Drosophila melanogaster: one gene and its partners. The protein of the gene in region 3 purifies or fractionates together with the protein of the main gene of each other region. This does not show direct contact. Each region holds a gene or a part of one and is shown on either strand. Other genes may lie near its edges.

Region 1 (5,991 bases), on a different chromosome or scaffold from region 3:
AGTAAGCTCAAGTGTAATTAAAACCCTGCCCGCATAATATGAACTCCATCTTGATATCTGGCAGCAGAAAAGCAACAATTTTTTCAATATGAAATAGCGCTGTGGATATTTCATTGTTTTAAAGTCTTCGCTTTGAGTGACTAATTTTCTATCCGTCGTTATCTATCAAATCTTTATCTTCATTTACTCAGATTAGTTGTCACCAATACCATTTTACTAATCTTGTAAAACCTTTTATCGCCTTTTTATACACACTGATTTGGTGACTACCGTCTCTGTGGTTACAATTAATTCATTTTTATTGTTCCTTTACTAAACCATGATGGTTGATTAGCTAGTTAGTTTGTATACCCTTTAAAATACTAGACTTCAGGCATTGAATAGAACCAGCGGATTGCCAGCTCAATCATCTATGAGAGGTAATCAATGCTGAATAATTTCATGGCGGAACTGCTTCTGCTCTTCGCCAACGATTCCCATGTGGTATGCTGGGTTTTAAAGAGCAGATAGCTAGATTAGTGGCTAATCAAGACCTCGCTGTGAATGCGACAAACATGTAACGAAAGTCACGGCCAAAGCCAAAGCCAAGCGATTTGTCGTCGCTGGTGGGTCTCTTTTAATTGAGCTAAAATTAAATCAGCCAGAAGAATAGATACACTTTAATTGCCGTTTATTTGATCATTTTGCATGTGAATGGAATGGATAAACATACATATGTACATATGTATGTCCCAGTATACAGTGTGTACCACCTTCGGACCCGTTCATATACCGGAATATAATAAAAGCTCATTTCCCGCCTGGTGAATTCATCATTATGATGAGTTATTTCCATAACAGCCGGGCGGGCAGGCAAGACCTCCAAAAATCAAATGTTTACATTAACTTTTTTGACTGATTGGCCCATGTCAATAGCATGTCTCTCCGTTTGATCCAAGTGAATTCTCTTTCTGTCTAAATTTAGCTGCCTAATTTTGAGGAAATCTTGCTGCAGCCCGTTGACGGGCTGGCATAAAACCTGTTAAGGCCCACAAATCAGACGACAACACCAGTGGTGGTGAGCTGTTAATAGATTTAAATCATTTTGCATAGGTATATTATACAATTCGTGGTTAAGACACCACCACCAAATGCACACACAAGCATGCTTAGAAAGTCACTGGTTTCGCCAATCTATTTGGGCTAAAACTTCCCTAGGTGGCAATAAAAGAAATAAATGGTAAAATGTGAAAACTGGCCGCTCCCTAAGTTGGTGAGCGTATATATGTATTAAGTCATCCGTTTGGCAGTCGAAACCGCACAAAAACAACCCCAAGCTTGGGGGAACTATTGGTATAAACAATCAGCAAACACAGTGCGTTTCAGAACTGTGAGACGGCGCAAAGTTTCACCTCGTCAATTGGCTATTTTCAAACAACGTTTGCTGACTAATCACGGGTCAAATGAATTAGTAATTGCTTACAAAAGTTGATCGGTGATCTAATGCACAGTTAAATCATCTGTAACTGGCTTAAGAACTATTTAAAATGTAGTAAAATACCTATTATTTTAATATAATTTCGAGGATTCTTAAAGGCTGCTACACTATTTAGGCAACGATCTTACATAAGTTGCTAGTTCTTAAGGGTAGCCCTAATATGTTAATATAAGCACTTAGGTCAAGAATGTGTGAAAGCTTCTTTTATGAGTAAAAATTCTTCCGATTTGATATAATAAGAGCTTTAACTTTTTGTGTGACTAATATCTTCTTCTTCTTCGAGATTTCATTAAAATTATTCAATTCCCACAACCAGTTGACACTGCCTTTGAAATTTGCATTAAACCTGCCTCTATGATGTATATTTGGTATATTTATTAGTATGTGTATAATCGACTGTTGCTTGCGAATAAGAACGAAAATAACAATTATTAAGTCTGTCGAGGACAAAAGATAAATTCTTATCGCAATGCGAGCAATTTAACCAGTGGGAAAGTGGAAAGTGGGGAAATTGTAGCGCATGGAGACAGTGGAGCAGTTGAACTCACCGTTTTTTGATTGATGGGTCATCCATAGGGTTTCCTGCGATGGCTTTTGCTGGCTGCTGTGCGGGTGCGAAGATGCAAATTCAAAGGCATGCGTAAGCCACTCGAAGTCGGAGGATCCCGTGGAGTATTGTTCGCATTGGTGTGGGGCCAGTCACCAGAAGTGGTTGCGGAATGCTTTCGGCAGCTATTTTTAAATTAGCTAGTAAAAACGGGCCGAAATGAATCCAGAAGTGATTTAATTGCCTCGATTTTCGTTGCTTTAGTTCTGTTTTATGATTTTTTGGTTGCACTATTCCAATGGGTTTTGATATGTGTATATATATTTTGCACTGCTACTTTTCACTTAAACCTGTGGGCACACAAAATTCGTTTGAAGACATTTCGGGCATTAATGCATGTACATTAAAATATTTGTTTGCATTTTTTTTTTTTTTTTTTGAGTGGGTGGTGAAGGGTTATGGGGGATGGGGCGGATCGGAGAGGGTTCAAATGCAGGCAGCAATCTCCTTGCAATTTCATTGTTTTTATTCCAACACAGATAACTGAACAGCACACCCACACACTCACGCGCAAGCCATACATATTCCAATGCCTATGGCTCTCTCGCCGCGCTCGTTCTCTCTCACTCTCTCTCGTAATCTCTTGCTTTCTCTGTCACTCGCAGGCAGCAGTTGTTGCTGGTTTTATTGTTGTGCTTTTTGCTGACTAGTTTTCACGAAACATTTAATGGATGACGACTTGGGGTTGGGGGAAAACAAGTTTTTGGCCGAAAAATTGAAATACTAATGCTATACTAATGGGTCAGAGCGGACACACAAGCAGGAAAATTCCAGCGATCCTTTCCAGATTTGCGTATTTTCCATTAGAACAGCTGATTGTTCAATTAATCGCTTGTGTTCAATTAGCGTGACGAAAACCCAAAAAGAAAAACAAAGACTCCCTCTCTTTCTTTGAATTTGCACTGATCTCACTGTTTGTTTACCTAAATAAATCAATTCTTGCAGTTTCACTCCTTTTTAATTAAACGCAAATATTTAATTGAATAAATATGTATACACACAAACTGGACTGACTGACTGACTGAGTGTGTGTGGGGGTGCGAGTGCGATCATCGCCGCAAACGCAAAGGCAAAACAATATGGCTGCCGCAAGCCACTTGTTAGAGAAAAACAAGGGATTCGAAGCCTCGGAAAGCGTCCAGTTGTTTATCATTTACTCATTAATTCGATCGCTTCCCGCTCCGTCAAGCCGCACATCCCTAAAATCGAATTAAAGCCATGTACTGCAGTTCAAGAGTTCAGCACTCGACGCACTCACACACGCGCGTCGCTCACTAACACTCACTGCCACCGATGGGCGAGTGTGGAAAATAAATACACATATGCCGTCATACATTCGATGCCCCTATAAGCGCGCTGCGTCTGTCTGCGTGCGATGGGTTAGAGATCATTTTTAGACAAATTTGCGTACAATATTTCCTGGCAGTTGCAAGCTCGCGATTTTGCCATTGACGAGCGTGCACAAATGCACTTAAATATGTATGAATTTTACGCCAGTGTGTGGGTGCGCGGAATGCATGTAGTCACTTTTTTTATTTATTGCTTTTGTTGCTGCAGTGAGCTCACGCGTAGCGAGTTGCGCATCATTCTTTCTCTGCTTCGCCACTTTCGCCACGCACTTACTTAAAACGCACTCGTATTGTATTCCATAAAGACACGAAAAATGTTTTTATTTTTTTCACTTATCGCGCCATCAACACGCACACGACGTTCTTTTCTTTTCAGCTTGAAAATTGGAATGAAATGACGAGAAAGAGCGCATATCTGCCAGTGTTGAAAAGGGCTTTAGTTCGGTACGGAATTCAGTACCTAAAACTGGTACAAACAAGGTACCTTGCCGATGATACAAGTTAGCTATTGGTTTTTATTCATTGTTTTAAATGCTTCTTAATATATTTCGTACGTGTGTTCATTAAGGCAATGTGTGTAAATCTTAGCTTATAAAAATTATAGCCCAAACTTGACTTGAACTTTTTAATAAAACCAAAATGCAAACATTGAGGCCAAAGCCTTTTTATTAATTTAAGTCAGCTTAGAAGTAGACGAGCCACAATCCAGATACGTACCTATTTATTGGACCGCAACACTGATATCCATACACGAACTTAGCAGCACTGTCCCGGGACCAATGCTTTTGCAACACTTGATCTGGCGTGCCTGGCAGAAATCAAAACAAACGCACAGCACAACCACCCACACAGACATGCATGCATACATACATACGGACAGCACAAAGAGCAGACAACAAAACCGCGTTCTGTGTTTTTCGTGAAATGTCGTTTATTTGGTGGCGGTTACTCGCGTTGACAAACAAAGGCAGGGCAACGCACCCACCGCCCTCTGAGATATCATACTTGGTTAGCTGCATACATTCGCAAATGTAAGCGCCAACAACTAATGTTTGCCTAGGACAAATCCGGACCCAGGAGGTAGAAGAGCAAAACCATCAGGTAGTAGAGCAGTAATCCTATAAATGCCATGTTGTAGTTTGGACTTTCCTGTTTCGTGCGCCGCCTAGGGACGCACTTCTGGCGTCATGAACTGGCCTCCTCCAGAATTGGTGTCGCCCTCGCCACTCCGCCGTTCTTCTCCAGAACCAGGTTGCCAACTACATCAGCACCCTCGCTATCCGAATCCTGCATAAGTGGGCTGTCGAGAATTCGAAGATTTTTTAAGTCTTCATACTGATTGGCAATATCCAACGTAACTGGGTCAGGTGGAGGTTGAAGTCTGCTTAACTCCAGCAACTGCAGATGGTAGTAGACACCCTCGTCATCTATGGCATAAAAGTGGGAGAAGTGGGCGTCTGTGAAGAACTGACGAGCTTCATTTCCCACAAATTTAACGCAGGCCAGGAGTTCCGGACGGATGGCATTGCCGCGCTTATTCCGCCACAGTTCCGCAGTCCCTCGGTTCACCGGATGAAACTCGTCGGCAACGAATGTCACATCTACATCGATGTCCGCTGCAATGGGCGCCGCATCCACAGCATCCTCTTGTGTAACACTGTGCTGCTTATGGCGTCGACTGCGCCGCCGTTTTTGCTCGCGCTCCAATTGATTGTTGCGCATGTGCGTCACATTCCAGAAGCACAGCTGCTCCGCGCAGCTGATCAGGAGCAACTTACATGGCGAGAATAGCAATTGCCGGATGCAGTGCTCGTGGACCTCTTCAATGCTGTAGATCAGTTGAACTTTTCTGTTTTCAACGGCAAAGAGCTGTTGGGAAATGTATAATTAGCAGGAAATAATTATGAAACGAATTTGTAAGACGTATGTATACCTCTAAAGTGCCATTTTCGAAACCCATAGCCAACATGGTACCATCATCCGTGGCTACCAAATAGCTGATCTTGGCCTTCTGGGCGATCTCTTCTTCGCAAATCTGTTCGTACCTTAGTTGGTTACAGCTGAATATTAAACGGAATACCTGTCGTTGGAAATAATTGATAATTGTTTAATGATATTATGTTTAGCAAACCCACATCGATGATGTTGTTTTCGTAGGCCAGAAAGAGAAGACTGTTCTTTAGATCAAAGCCGACAATGTATTCCTCCGAATCCTTTGGTTTCACGAATGCAGATGGGTTAGCTATATCCAGATGCTGTTGGTAAATATTGAAATCAAATACTGCACTTTTACTCGCATAAACTTCAATTAAGAACACTCACACAGACTCCGTGGTCGGAAAACAAAATGATATACTGTCCTTCCTGCAAGGACGCGTACTTGGTACTAACATCCATCATCAATGGCCACTGGTCATTGGGTTGCAGCGGATCTATCTTTTCCAGCTGGAATATCACAGTCTTCTGGGCACTGTGTGCCGACGCCACCAGAATGTTGGGACTGACCTGTTTGAGGTAATCAATGGGCTCCTCTATAAACTGCTGAGGTAGCGCTGTAT
Region 2 (5,888 bases), on a different chromosome or scaffold from region 3:
CTGCCCGGCGTTTGGTGCGACAGGTGCTAATGTGGCGACATTCCGATTGGTCGCGCCAATGCGATTCCGCACGTAATGGCTATTAAATTCGGATCTTCTAAAATGGAAAGTTTATTGTGCGCTCACAGTACGTAGATACGGATGCGGGTGTGCAAACATTTGGCGAACTATAGAGGACTACAATAGGAATATCAAATTAAATTTGTACGTCTTCAATGATCAGCTGCAATTGGTCACAATCCCATTGGGTGATAGATAGTTCTAGGCACTTTTGGGGCTTTTGCCAATGCCGCAAACCTTGCGGTAGTGCTCCGGTTGCTCCAGGCTGTCGATAATGAACTTTCCCAAGTCGTATTTGGATACCAGACGACCGGGGGCCTCGTCGTGCAAGACGGTATAGGCGGTGGCCGGCTCATCGGCTATGTGCGGCGGCAGAATGGCGATCCAGTCTAGATCGCAGGCCTTGGTCAGGTCCAGCATGCGCTGGTGCTCCTCGTTTAGGCGGTGGAACACAGTGGGCACTTCGTTGAGCGGGCGCAGGAGAAACGAGGACATGACAATAGAGAATTTGGTCAGTTTGGCCTCTTTCATGGCCTTGATGAGGTTCTCGGTGCCGCGGGATAGCTCCGTGGTAGCCTCCAGCTTGTTGCGGGTGCCCAGGATGACGGCTACCGCATCCACGCCCTCGATAACGCGCTGGACATCCTCGTAGTTGGTCACGTCTCCCTTGACCAATTCAACCTTGGACTTGAAGCGTTCTGGAACTGTCTTTTCGCTGCGGTATAGCAATTTCACCGACAGACCTGAAAGGAAGAATACGGTTTAACTGGCGTTTCCGGGTCTTAAGGTGTCACCTACCCTTCTGCAGGGCGTGATCCACGGCACACTCGCCGGTCATGCCGGTTCCTCCAATAATAGCAATGCGTTGCATAATTCGGATGATTCTTTAATTCCCGTCGATTGAAATGCGTTTAGTCCAGTTGTTGGTTTGCAAAAGTGCAGTCTCACCTGTGCTCCAGGCGCAACTTATCTATCAAATTTCCAATTCACAAGTGAATCCAGCGCGATTGCCTCGCATTCTCACCTCACCCGTAGCAATGAATGTACAGTGCTCTTTCTAAATAGTGAACGCTCACTGATCTGAAGCTTCTGTAGAAGGTAACAAGATATTTAACATTCATTTGTATTTTTATTAAGCTACGAATTATTGCTTTAAAAATATCGTGTTATTTTTGTCTCTATGCAAATAATCTTATTTTGTTTATTGGTTCATTGCTTCTAGTTAGCACTGTACTGGCAAAACAATATGAATTTTTATATAGATTACTGTCAGGCATAATGATAAGGTATATCATATCTGGCGATAACAATTTTATTTACAAACGCTAATGGTCATTTGTCATGGTGATTAATATTAAAATTATAAATACATTTGCGAAAATTAAAATTAAGGCGGTTGTTCTCAGTCTGGCAGCCCTGCCACTTGGTTCAGTGTGGTAAAATGCGGCGCAGTTGAAAGTTTAACCGCCAAATCGTTACGCCTGCGACTCCGATTCCTCGGAATACGGATTATCCGCCGGATTCTTGACCCGTCTCAGTGTTATTCCCAGCTTCAGTTCACTTAGAAAGTCGGTGGTCACCGGCTTACGTTCTGGACGCGGCTTAATGCCACTTATGGTGGCTGCCTTCTGATCCACTTTCTGCAAGAATCGAAGAAGGATTAGATTTCCAATTTAAATGGGTGTCTACTTTTAATACCTTCAGCTTTACGCCTTGTCGAATGCTCTCCAAGAACGCATCCCTCGGGTCTCCGCCGGTGGAGGCAGCTGAAACAGCCTTGGGCTGTGATTTCTGCATCGGAGGCGGTGGTGGAACGCCGGCCATGCCACTTGATGGAGGCGGTGGTGGAGGAGGAGCGCCTCCCGCGCCAAAAACTGGCATTGGTGGCGGTGCTGGTGGAACACCTGCTGGTGGCGCTGGAGGCGGCGGTGGAACACCAACGGATGCCGCTGTAGGCGGCGGTGGTGAAACTGGCACCGGAGTACTACTAATCTGGGTTTTCTGCGCTGACAGTGGTGTCATATAGACAGCCGAAGATCTAGAAGTCGGCTTGGCAGGAGCAGCTGGTGGCGCCGGCTTGGCAACAGGCGCGTACTGCACCGGGGACACAGCATACAGTGATCCGTTGGAAATCGTCGAGTTCGTATGAGGCACTATTGTTGGCTTTGGAGGCGCCGGCGGTGGAACGCGCATTGAGCCCACTTTCCGTTGCGGTGATATGGTGGCGTACGTCTCATTCGCTACCTTTGGCGCCACAGATGGCCTCACTTGACGAATGTCAATGGCCGCTGGATATCCATGTGTGTTCTTCGCCATTACCGCCGATGGAGGTGGAGGAACCTTAGGTTTCACACTCTGCTGAGGCTGCACTTGGACGGGTATCACACTTCCGACCTCTGCCGGTTGAAAAGGAGTTGGTGCAGCCGGCGTAGGAGCAGGTAAGTCCATATCGGAGATATCCACAAACCGTGAAGTAAGCGAGGCGTAGTTGGAGAAGTTTGGTGCCTCCGTTGGCCTCGAAATAGTGGCTATTGGAGGCGGCGGTGGAGACGGCGGAGGAGTAATCTGGTTATTAGTGGAAATGGTGGCATAGAGCAGCGGCCTGGCATGATCTTGAACTTTTGGCTGCGCCTGAAGATCACTTTTTGGTGGCTTAAAAGGCAAATGTTATATTAACAGCTTCCAGTTAATTTCAAGACCTACCATCCAAGTAAAATTGGAGTGAATGATCTTCTTGATCACTTCTTGGCGCCGCATGTCACTAATGTCCGCCTCCGTAATGCCACGCTCCATCATGTACTTCCTCAGCACCTTGTCGTTGGGATCGGCATTCAGGTCGAAGGCGTTTCGCGTGCGATCCCGCGTCACATCGCCGGAAACGTGCTGGAAGTTGACTGGTCCGCTAATCTCGTACTTGGAGCCCTTGCTGCTGACCAAGACGCTGGTGGCGAAGCTGGGACCCGCCAAGGCCACAGAGGGCGGAGCGCCCAGATACCTGTCCAGGCTGTTCGAGGAGGAGGAGCTCTTCATGCCGTCTAGACTGGCGTTGATGCTCACGTTGTCGGCGTAGTGAGGCGGTGGACGAACTGCTGGCGGTGGATGTGCAAAGACGTCGCTGCTCACTTGCATAGACGGTGGCTGAAAGGAGAAGAAAACGGCTGCGTTCAGGACAACTGTGGACAACATCAAGGACACTTTCGGCTGATGAAGCTGGCAAGATGAGATGCTGCAGGATATTACCACCCAGTAACCGGGTTCCTTATTGCTTCTAATTATGTCATAGACATAGGCGCGCCGCACAATAGCCGGCAGACGTTCAAGATCATCGGACAAATTTGCCTTGCGCAGGTACAACTGAAGCATTTCGTCGGTGCCCTGGCCTCGCAGATCGAATGTCTTGCGGAAGTCAATCGCATTGCCCTCCAGCTGGCGGAACTCCACGGGCTCGGAGATGTAGGCGTATGTGTAATCCTCCATCGAACTGGAAAAACGGATACGTAGTTGGTAGCTGCGTTATTACGGCTGCAAAGGAGGTGCCGCCCATTGGCATTGTCTTGGATCTCTCCCCGTTGCCGCCGTGCGTCCACTGGGCCCAGCGGCATTATCTAGTAGCCAATTTGCAGATAAGAACTGCTGGCGCAACTTGGCGTTTTATCAATTTCGGATTCGGATCGCGGTGGGCCTTCACGGACGTGACTCATCGACGGTCCCAGTCACCAGTTAAACAGGCTAATAATTATTACGAAAGCCCATTGAAACGAGATGGTGGTCTAGAACGACAGTAGGCAGCGGCGATGAGCAAGGATCAATTACCGTGCGCACCTGGAAACGCTGTTTGCAGGGATTCTGCAAATGCTGAACCGGATCAGCTCGGCTCGGGTCGGCTGGTGTGTTTGAATGGCACGGAGAACCTTGTGGGACTGATTAACAACGTCGGTGTGCCATGTTAGGCACTGCGTTTACTCATTTCGCGAGGCGTCTTATCTGTAACCGAAGTGCTGAATGCAGATAACTGGCGGCCAGTAATCACCTGGGCCAACTACGACGACTCCGACTCTGACAGCCTGAGCCAAAGGAAAACATAAACAAATGGCGTTAACTACACTTTGCGGTCTACGATATGCGCCTTGGCTGTCAGAAGTCTGCAAAATGTTGGGTAAGTCCAAAATTTAAAAATTAGCTAATGACTAATGTGTTGTAGAAGCGGAAACGGCTTTATAAATCATTTTATTTTTAAAGATGAATGCATATGCAGGGACTTAAAAACACAGTTTCAAAATGTATAACTACGAACCCATTGGTTTGAGTTTCTCATTATTGAGATGTACTTTAAATCTTATGTGATATTAGAAATTAAAATTCAAAGCAATTTAAAGACTACATTTATATTATACATATATATTTTACGATATACGTATTTATAATATTCAGTTGATTCTCAGGTCATTTAAGTTATAAACATATCGGTAAGTTGTCAGATGTTTTACTTTAGCAAACATTTTAGTATTGCCGTCTTTGTTAGAAACCCTTTAGAGTTGTCCAATGCCTTGGAGCCAACTGTCAGTTGAGCCAATTTTCCAGCGACGGAGAAAGCAAATCTCATATCCCTACTTATCAGCAGTACAAACGTTTCGTTAAAATTTCCGAACAAATTATTCCTGCGATAGAAACTGTACAAATTTGAACTTTTTTCGAATTCGGCCAACTGCCATTGAGTTTTAAAAACTTTGAATCGCTTTTGAGAGAGAGCAATTTTCTGCGAAAGATACGCGATCGGACTAGCGCCATGAAAGTCAAAGTTTCGGGTGAATATACGCTGGCCGAGATCGAAGTCGAGTTGGACCAGCAGTTGACGCCAGACGACCTGCAACCCGGAGCCACAGTGCTGGCCACCAACGAGAGTACTGGCGGCTTAGAGCGGATTGTCAGCCATGAGGAGCTGTCCAGATTCTTCGCCGTGGGGCCAGCGGGCGCCTTACCAATGCCCACGGATGTTGTAGTGGAGCGAACATTGGCGGATCCGGCTTTCAAGCAAATCCTGCAGGAGGCCGACGGAAAGAAAGGCTTCGATCCCCAGGCGGAGCAAATGAAGATTCGCGACTTTTTGGCCGGCGTCACCAGCAGCAAGATGACCACTGAGCAATCGGTCTTTCATGGTATACGAATAGATTCACTTGCATGGATAAGTTTTTATAGTATTGCCTACATTATTTAGGATCTCGTTCCAATTCCTCTGCGTCCACTGTCAACCGTATAAAGTGTCCAACATGTTTGGTCCAGTTCGATGCCGTGGCCTTTCAAAATCATTCCTGTGAAGCGAAGCCGATCGAGGTGGCGGTGCCTCAGCAGGAGAAGCCACATCTTGTGCCTACTGTATCTGCTCCTCCGGCTCCGCTAAGCAAACCGGCTAGCGAGCGGGTAATTCGGGAGAACCAAGTGCGTCTGCGCCGTTACATCAAAGATGAGATGAAGTACGATCTGGCCACAGGCATCGAAAGCTCGCGCAAAAACGCGGCCAAGGGTCCCAACGAGTGCACCATGTGCGACCGCAAATTTGTCCACGCCTCTGGGCTGGTGCGCCACATGGAGAAGCATGCCCTGGACTTGATCCCTTCGCAAACCAGCGAGCAACCACATACGATTCCGGCTGCCGGACTGCATGTGGTGGTTAAGTGCAACTCGTGTGGCCGCATCTTCTATGATCCGCAGGTGGCTTTTAGACACGGCCTTATTCACGATTCGGAGCATTCAACGATGCGTCAAAGTCCAATGACCCAAGTACCCTCCAATAGAGCAGATTTCAATGAGCTGCTGCTGGATGGCGAGAT
Region 3 (6,363 bases):
CGACGACACGGGCATCGCCATCGTGGACACCACGGGCCGAGTGATTGCCAATGTGCTGGAGTCGCAACAGGAGTTCCACACCCGGTGAGTGCTCACATCTCCGCATGCGGTGCCCAATGATGAACTGAATCGATTGCAGCTATGGAGGCATTATTCCGCCCAGGGCCCAGGACCTTCACCGCGCCCGCATCGAGTCCGCCTACCAGCGCTGCATGGAGGCGGCGCAATTGAAGCCGGACCAACTGACGGCCATCGCGGTGACCACGCGTCCCGGACTGCCGCTGAGTTTGCTGGTGGGCGTGCGCTTTGCACGGCACCTGGCCCGTCGCCTGCAGAAGCCCCTGCTGCCCGTTCACCACATGGAGGCGCACGCGCTGCAGGCCCGCATGGAACATCCGGAGCAGATCGGCTACCCCTTCCTCTGCTTGCTGGCCAGCGGCGGCCACTGTCAGTTGGTGGTGGCTAACGGCCCCGGTCGCCTTACGCTTCTTGGCCAAACACTGGATGATGCGCCCGGCGAGGCCTTTGACAAGATCGGTCGGCGACTACGCCTGCACATTCTGCCGGAGTACCGCTTGTGGAACGGAGGACGGGCCATTGAGCATGCCGCCCAGCTGGCCAGCGATCCGCTGGCCTACGAGTTTCCGCTGCCACTTGCCCAGCAGCGGAACTGCAACTTCAGCTTCGCCGGCATCAAGAACAACTCCTTCCGGGCCATCCGAGCGCGCGAGCGGGCAGAGCGGACACCTCCGGACGGAGTCATCAGCAACTACGGCGACTTCTGCGCCGGCCTGCTGCGCTCTGTCAGCCGGCACCTGATGCACCGCACGCAGCGGGCAATTGAGTACTGCCTCCTGCCGCACAGGCAGCTCTTCGGTGACACCCCGCCCACACTGGTCATGTCCGGCGGTGTGGCCAACAACGATGCCATATACGCCAACATCGAACATCTGGCCGCGCAGTATGGCTGCAGGAGCTTCCGTCCATCGAAGCGGTACTGCTCCGACAACGGCGTCATGATCGCCTGGCACGGCGTTGAGCAACTGCTGCAGGATAAAGAGGCCAGCACGCGCTACGACTACGACAGCATTGATATCCAGGGCAGCGCGGGATTCGCCGAGTCGCACGAGGAAGCTGTCGCTGCGGCGGCCATAAAATGCAAGTGGATACAGCCACTGGTTTGATCACTAGCCCCTGTTGTGTTTTATACATTCTTACATAAAGTTACAGATGAATCCTTGTTCGTTGTTGAATCCTGTTTGTCTGATTTACAAATTAATAATATATTCATAATATTTTTGAGTGTGTGAGTTCTTTGGCGCTGCAGAGTTCCTACTTGCTAAGAGCCACCTTGCTAGCTCTGGTGGCTTCCGAGATCTCGACGTTTATGCTGACGAACAATAGGACATGGCCAGATAATCAAAATATAGTTTATAGTAATGGAAAAGCTTTGCCTCCACCTGTTGGCCACTTTTCCAGGAACGTAATAACTGATATGACGACAGGTCTTTATCACGCGAATCGATATAGAAATAAACAACCACAAATGAATCACAAATGCTATATAAAAATCACAATTGCATTGAATTTATGTAATTTTATACATATAAAAAGTACATTTTCGCTTGTGCATCTTTGGTGGGATGTTCCCTTTTTTTTTTTCATTTCAGGCAAGACAGTGAGTGGTTTCGTTTTGGATTTCGTTTTATTATAAGATATTATCTGAAATCAATAATGTTAAATCACTAAGGTCTAGAAAAAAAATGTAAAAATTGATAATGTGTACATATAAAAATATTAAAAAATGCATTAGTTCTTATTTTCCTTTCATCTTTTGTCGTTTTTGTTTTTTTGCTGAACTACAATACAAATGTTTGTTGCTGTTGCCGTTGTTTTATTGTTTGTTATACTTTATGGATTATACATATTTAAATATATATATATATATGTATATACTTTTATATAGATTGTAGATTTCAGATGTGTGTTTGTGTTGTGGTTGCAACGCCTAGTTCGGTTCTCGCATCTCTTGCTGATCCTTTATCTCCTCCTTTAGGTTCATTTAATTTACTTTTAATCATATTTCAATACTCATACGCTTAGTTTTATTACATAATAAGCTTCACTTTCATATCTGCATGCTAGCGAATTCCATCCGACCTCCGCTGTTTAAACATTACGCGATCAGTTATCATAAATATTTAATATAATTCTCGCACGTTGCTCCTTTCGGGACAATATCGACGTGGATTCCCGCGGATTTCATCGACTGAGGCAAAACGAATAAGTGCATGGTTCTTTTCGAATCGCCCCACATTCTGTTCTGTTCTGGATTGTTTTTTTGTTTATCGTAAATGTATATTTTTTTTTTTTTTGCCTCTCCTTAATCTTTGTATATATATATAAAGAAATATATATATATATACATATATATATATATATATTTATATATAAATCATTTGTTTTCGCTATATTGATATTGTGGTTCCTCTTTTTACTTAATTCGAAAATTGCGCCAAAAACATGTTTGGGAGCAGAAATGAAGTCGGCTGGGTTTCGATTCGATTGGCTGCGATTGGATCCTGGCGGGGATTGGAGCTGAAGCTTGTGGGGCGGAAGACTGTCCCGAGTTGGGGGCAACTGCCCAGCCGCCTGGTCACAGTGGACCAAACATAGAAACCGACCAAAATACCGGGTAGGGATTAGAGCTCTGGAGGCTGGAGCACGGACACTACTGACACAGATACGCGGACGCGCGTAAGTGGAGACACAGACGGTGTGTGAGACAAAAAGAGTAGAGTGGGAGTGGGGACACAGGCGGATGGCGGCGAGGAGAAATAGCTCATGGAGTACTGGGCTAATGCAGAATAACGTAAATCAAGACCAATATATATACATATATATATATATATGTTATATATATATATATACGGCTATATATTGAATGCTTCTCGACGACGGGAGGCTGGGAAGGAGTCATTGCGATAGTAGAAAGCCAGAATGAAAGGGATACCGCGTGTGAGGAAAGCAGAATTATAAGAATTTGCACTTCCTTTTCTTTGTGGGCTCTGGTGGCTCGAGGGCGGCCAGGATGGCCTCGTCGAATACATTTTTCAGGCCCTTCTGTGTCAAGGCCGAGCACTCCACGTACTTGACGGCCTTCAGCTCCTTGGCCAGCTTCTCGCCCTGCTCCATGGTGATGGGCTTCTGCTTGTTCTTGGCCAGCTTCTCCAGCGTGCTGTTCTCGTCGCGCAAATCAATCTGTGTGCCCACCAGCAGGAACGGCGTCTTTTGGCAATGGTGTGTAATCTCGGGCACCCACTGCAAATGCAAAATGACTCACTTACAGTCTCGCCATGGCGTAGAATAGTCTTGTACGTACCTTCTCCTTGACGTTCTCGAAGGAACTGGGACTGACCACCGAAAAGCAGACAAGGAAGACATCCGTCTGCGGATAGGAGAGCGGACGCAGCCGATCGTAGTCCTCCTGTCCGGCCGTATCGAACAGGCCCAGTGTGTAGGGCTCACCGCCGATCATCACAGTGACCGCATAGTTGTCGAACACCGTGGGCACGTACTCCGACGGGAACTTGTTGGTTGTATACGAGATGAGCAGGCATGTCTTACCCACGGCTCCGTCGCCGACGACCACGCACTTGATGGTTTGCATGTTGTGCAGAGGGGTGATGACTCCTGCGGATTAGTGGGGGTTAGTTTGCCGGATTACACTGGGGGGATGACTAGTGGGTGCGGCTTCCCTGCTCCTGCTCGTACTCCTGCCAGAGTGACCGTTCGCCAGCGGCGCCTTATCAACGAGGAGGAGCGGAGCCCAGGAGAGCGGGGCGGCAGTGTGTGTGCAATGTACATATGTACATATCTGGGCAGAATGAGCGATGACTCAAGCCGAAGAAAGAACGGAAAGAATGGAAAGCAACGGCGCACACAGATAAGCCGGACGGGCATCAGAAAATTCTGATTGGACACACATACACGCAAACACTTGCGCGCAGGGGCGCAGCGAGTACGGCAGCTTGCGGTTGTGTGTGTGCGGTGCGTGTTCACTTGGTCTAATGCAGTTTTTGCTGCACTATTACTGGCTTTATGATGGTTTATTTGGTCACGGGACTGGCCGCCCAGTCAGCTGCTGGAGCTGCCCCCTGTTTTTAGCTATAGTCGGATTTTAGACGAGATTTGCAGACAAAAAACTAAAGAAATTTGGAAGCAATTATTTATCACACACGCACACTGCGGCACGGACCACACGCACATATGACACACACACACAGGCAGGCAGGCCCGTCATCGACATTTGGTTTTCATTCACTTTTCACTGGGCAAATTGAAACGCGTTGCGATCTATACGGCGGATGCTCGTTGCGGGCACCTTTTCCGCCTTACTTACAGTTATTTAAAATTTGCAACCGCTGTCGAATCCGTTTAGTTTTCCGCTTTTCTGGGCTGGGCTCGATACGTACGGAAAACTACTATTTCCTTTTGTGTTAGCGTTCTCTCTCTCCAGCGAGCTCTTTGCGTGCGAGTGACTAGCGCGGCGTTGCCATCCCGTCGCAGTACTCCCACCCGGCTTGCATCGCAATCGGTATGTTGGTATTTTCGGTGGAAGTTCTCTGTCACTGTAAGGGCTATATATCCGACCGATCGGGCAGAGCGGGACCAATATACTGCATACAGTTGCGGTAACAATAATAAGCGGATTTCGTGTTTGTCCCAGTGTTTCTGTATTTTCTGACACTTTTTCATCATTTTACTCACTAAACTTAAATACTACAATGATTTTCAATCGAAATAAAAAAATTAGTAACAGATCTAATGGATAAAATAATTGGTAAAACAAAAAAAAACCTTCAAATTTAGGCGGTAACAAAAATAGCACTGTTTCTTGTAGTTTGCCAAAACTAAATAAAAAAATTTTTTAAAAAATTTTTAAAAAAATTTAAACAAACGGATTATATCTTAAAAACTATGTTTAAAGAATCTTAATATTTGGTTGCGTGACCTATGCTGGTAATGACAGCTGGACATCGTCTTGGCATGGACTCCACCAAGTCCTGGCACTGTTTTTGAGGAATTTTGCTTCCTGAATCCTTGACCACACCCCAAAATTCCTCGTTATTATTGGGTCTGGCTTCAGAAACCCTTTTTTCACGTCCGCCCAAAGGTTTTCGATTGGATTCAAGTCGGGTGACTGAGCAGGCCATTTCATTACTCGGATCTACTTCTGCTCAAACCACTTTGAGCTTTCTTGCTCGTGTGTTTTGGGTCGTTATCCTGTTGAAATGTCCAAACCAACGGCATTTCATCCTCGGCATATGACAGTAAATGTGCTGATCCATGATGCTTTGAATCCAATGGATTGGAACTACTCCATACCATGAAAAGCACGCCCATACCATGATGCTTGATCCCCCGTTTTTTACCGACTTAAAGGTGAAGCGAGGATTATATTTAGTGGTGGACGTCGTGGTGGACGCCGAACATAAGACCGAGAGCCTTTCCCACCAAACAACACAATTTTGATCTCATCTGACCACAAAATGTTGCACCACTTCTCCATAGGCCAGTCCTTGTGTATCTTGGCATATTCGATTCGCTTTGCCACATGCTTCACAGTCAAAAGCGGTACTTTTTTGGGGCTGCACGCATTAAGGTTGTTTTGTCTTAAGCGTTTGCGAACTGTTTCCACGCTTGCAGCTATCTGAAGCTCCTTCTTCAGTTCCGTCGCCGGCTTAAAAGACTCCTTCTTGCTTTGCCAAACCAAGCGCTTGATCTCCACGTTGGACATTGAGGGCTCTCTTCGCCGTGTTTCCTTCTTTTCGACAAACAGCAGTGCTTTGCGGATCATTTTGTTTGAACAACCGACAATGCGACCAATTTCAGCGTAGGTTTTACGTTCAGAAATCATGTTTTTAATCAAATTTCTTTTTTCGACGGTACAATGCTTTCCGCGACCCATGACTAGAGAATTTTTTGTCTTCGTTTGGAAAAAATTCAATTAAAACCTTTATTGCAACTCCTTTTTTCAAAATTTGTCGAAAAAAAAACCCAAAGCAATCACTCCTATTAATTGTATTCAGCAAATACGTGATCGGTGCTATTTTTGTTACCACAGCAAGTGCCCAAAAACAAAAAGAACCGTTACATTGAGAGAGTAAAAATTTCTTGCTCAGAGAGACAACATATGGTTCTTATTATTCATGCAATCTGACTTAAAAAAATAAAACATTTAATTATTTTTTTTGGTAAATCAACTTTCCACCTGCAGTAGTGTTATTATTTTAACCGCAGCTGTATTCATCGTGTCATCGTGAAGTAATTGTTGGGTATAAAATATTCTCACTTGGCGCT

What was found. The genes of interacting proteins can lie anywhere in the genome.
Region 1: the proteins of Cdc42 (region 3) and RhoGEF2 purify together in Drosophila melanogaster (affinity purification with western blotting, with the first as the bait; one study listed by BioGRID). This does not show direct contact.
Region 2: the proteins of Cdc42 (region 3) and Whamy purify together in Drosophila melanogaster (affinity purification with western blotting, with the first as the bait; 2 studies listed by BioGRID). This does not show direct contact.

What each region holds. Positions count from the first base shown.
Region 1 is NT_033778.4:17,025,056-17,031,046, reverse strand, and holds the start of RhoGEF2 (Rho guanine nucleotide exchange factor 2), read right to left. Parts: upstream 3,858-5,991; 5' UTR 3,708-3,857; intron 2,375-3,707; 5' UTR 2,052-2,374; coding exon 2,026-2,051; intron 1-2,025. Other genes in the region: Dark (Death-associated APAF1-related killer), read right to left, coding at 4,619-5,302, 5,367-5,513, 5,569-5,688, 5,756-5,991.
Region 2 is NT_033777.3:9,770,438-9,776,325, forward strand, and holds Whamy (WHAMM and JMY related), read right to left. Parts: upstream 3,983-5,888; 5' UTR 3,883-3,982; exon of another isoform or gene 3,874-3,882; intron 3,542-3,873; 5' UTR 3,538-3,541; coding exon 2,764-3,537; intron 2,713-2,763; coding exon 1,759-2,712; intron 1,701-1,758; coding exon 1,536-1,700; 3' UTR 1,358-1,535; downstream 1-1,357. Other genes in the region: CG9471 (uncharacterized protein), read right to left, coding at 262-803, 859-931; topi (matotopetli), read left to right, coding at 4,847-5,216, 5,276-5,888.
Region 3 is NC_004354.4:19,695,265-19,701,627, reverse strand, and holds Cdc42 (cell division cycle 42), read right to left. Parts: upstream 4,538-6,363; 5' UTR 4,476-4,537; exon of another isoform or gene 4,403-4,475; intron 3,694-4,402; 5' UTR 3,671-3,693; coding exon 3,383-3,670; intron 3,322-3,382; coding exon 3,034-3,321; 3' UTR 1,690-3,033; downstream 1-1,689. Other genes in the region: Tcs4 (Threonyl-carbamoyl synthesis 4), read left to right, coding at 1-84, 140-1,184. UniProt on the Drosophila melanogaster protein: Regulates mbt kinase activity and is also required to recruit mbt to adherens junctions. Together with mbt and Frl, regulates photoreceptor cell morphogenesis. Together with Frl, has a role in the neuronal development of mushroom bodies.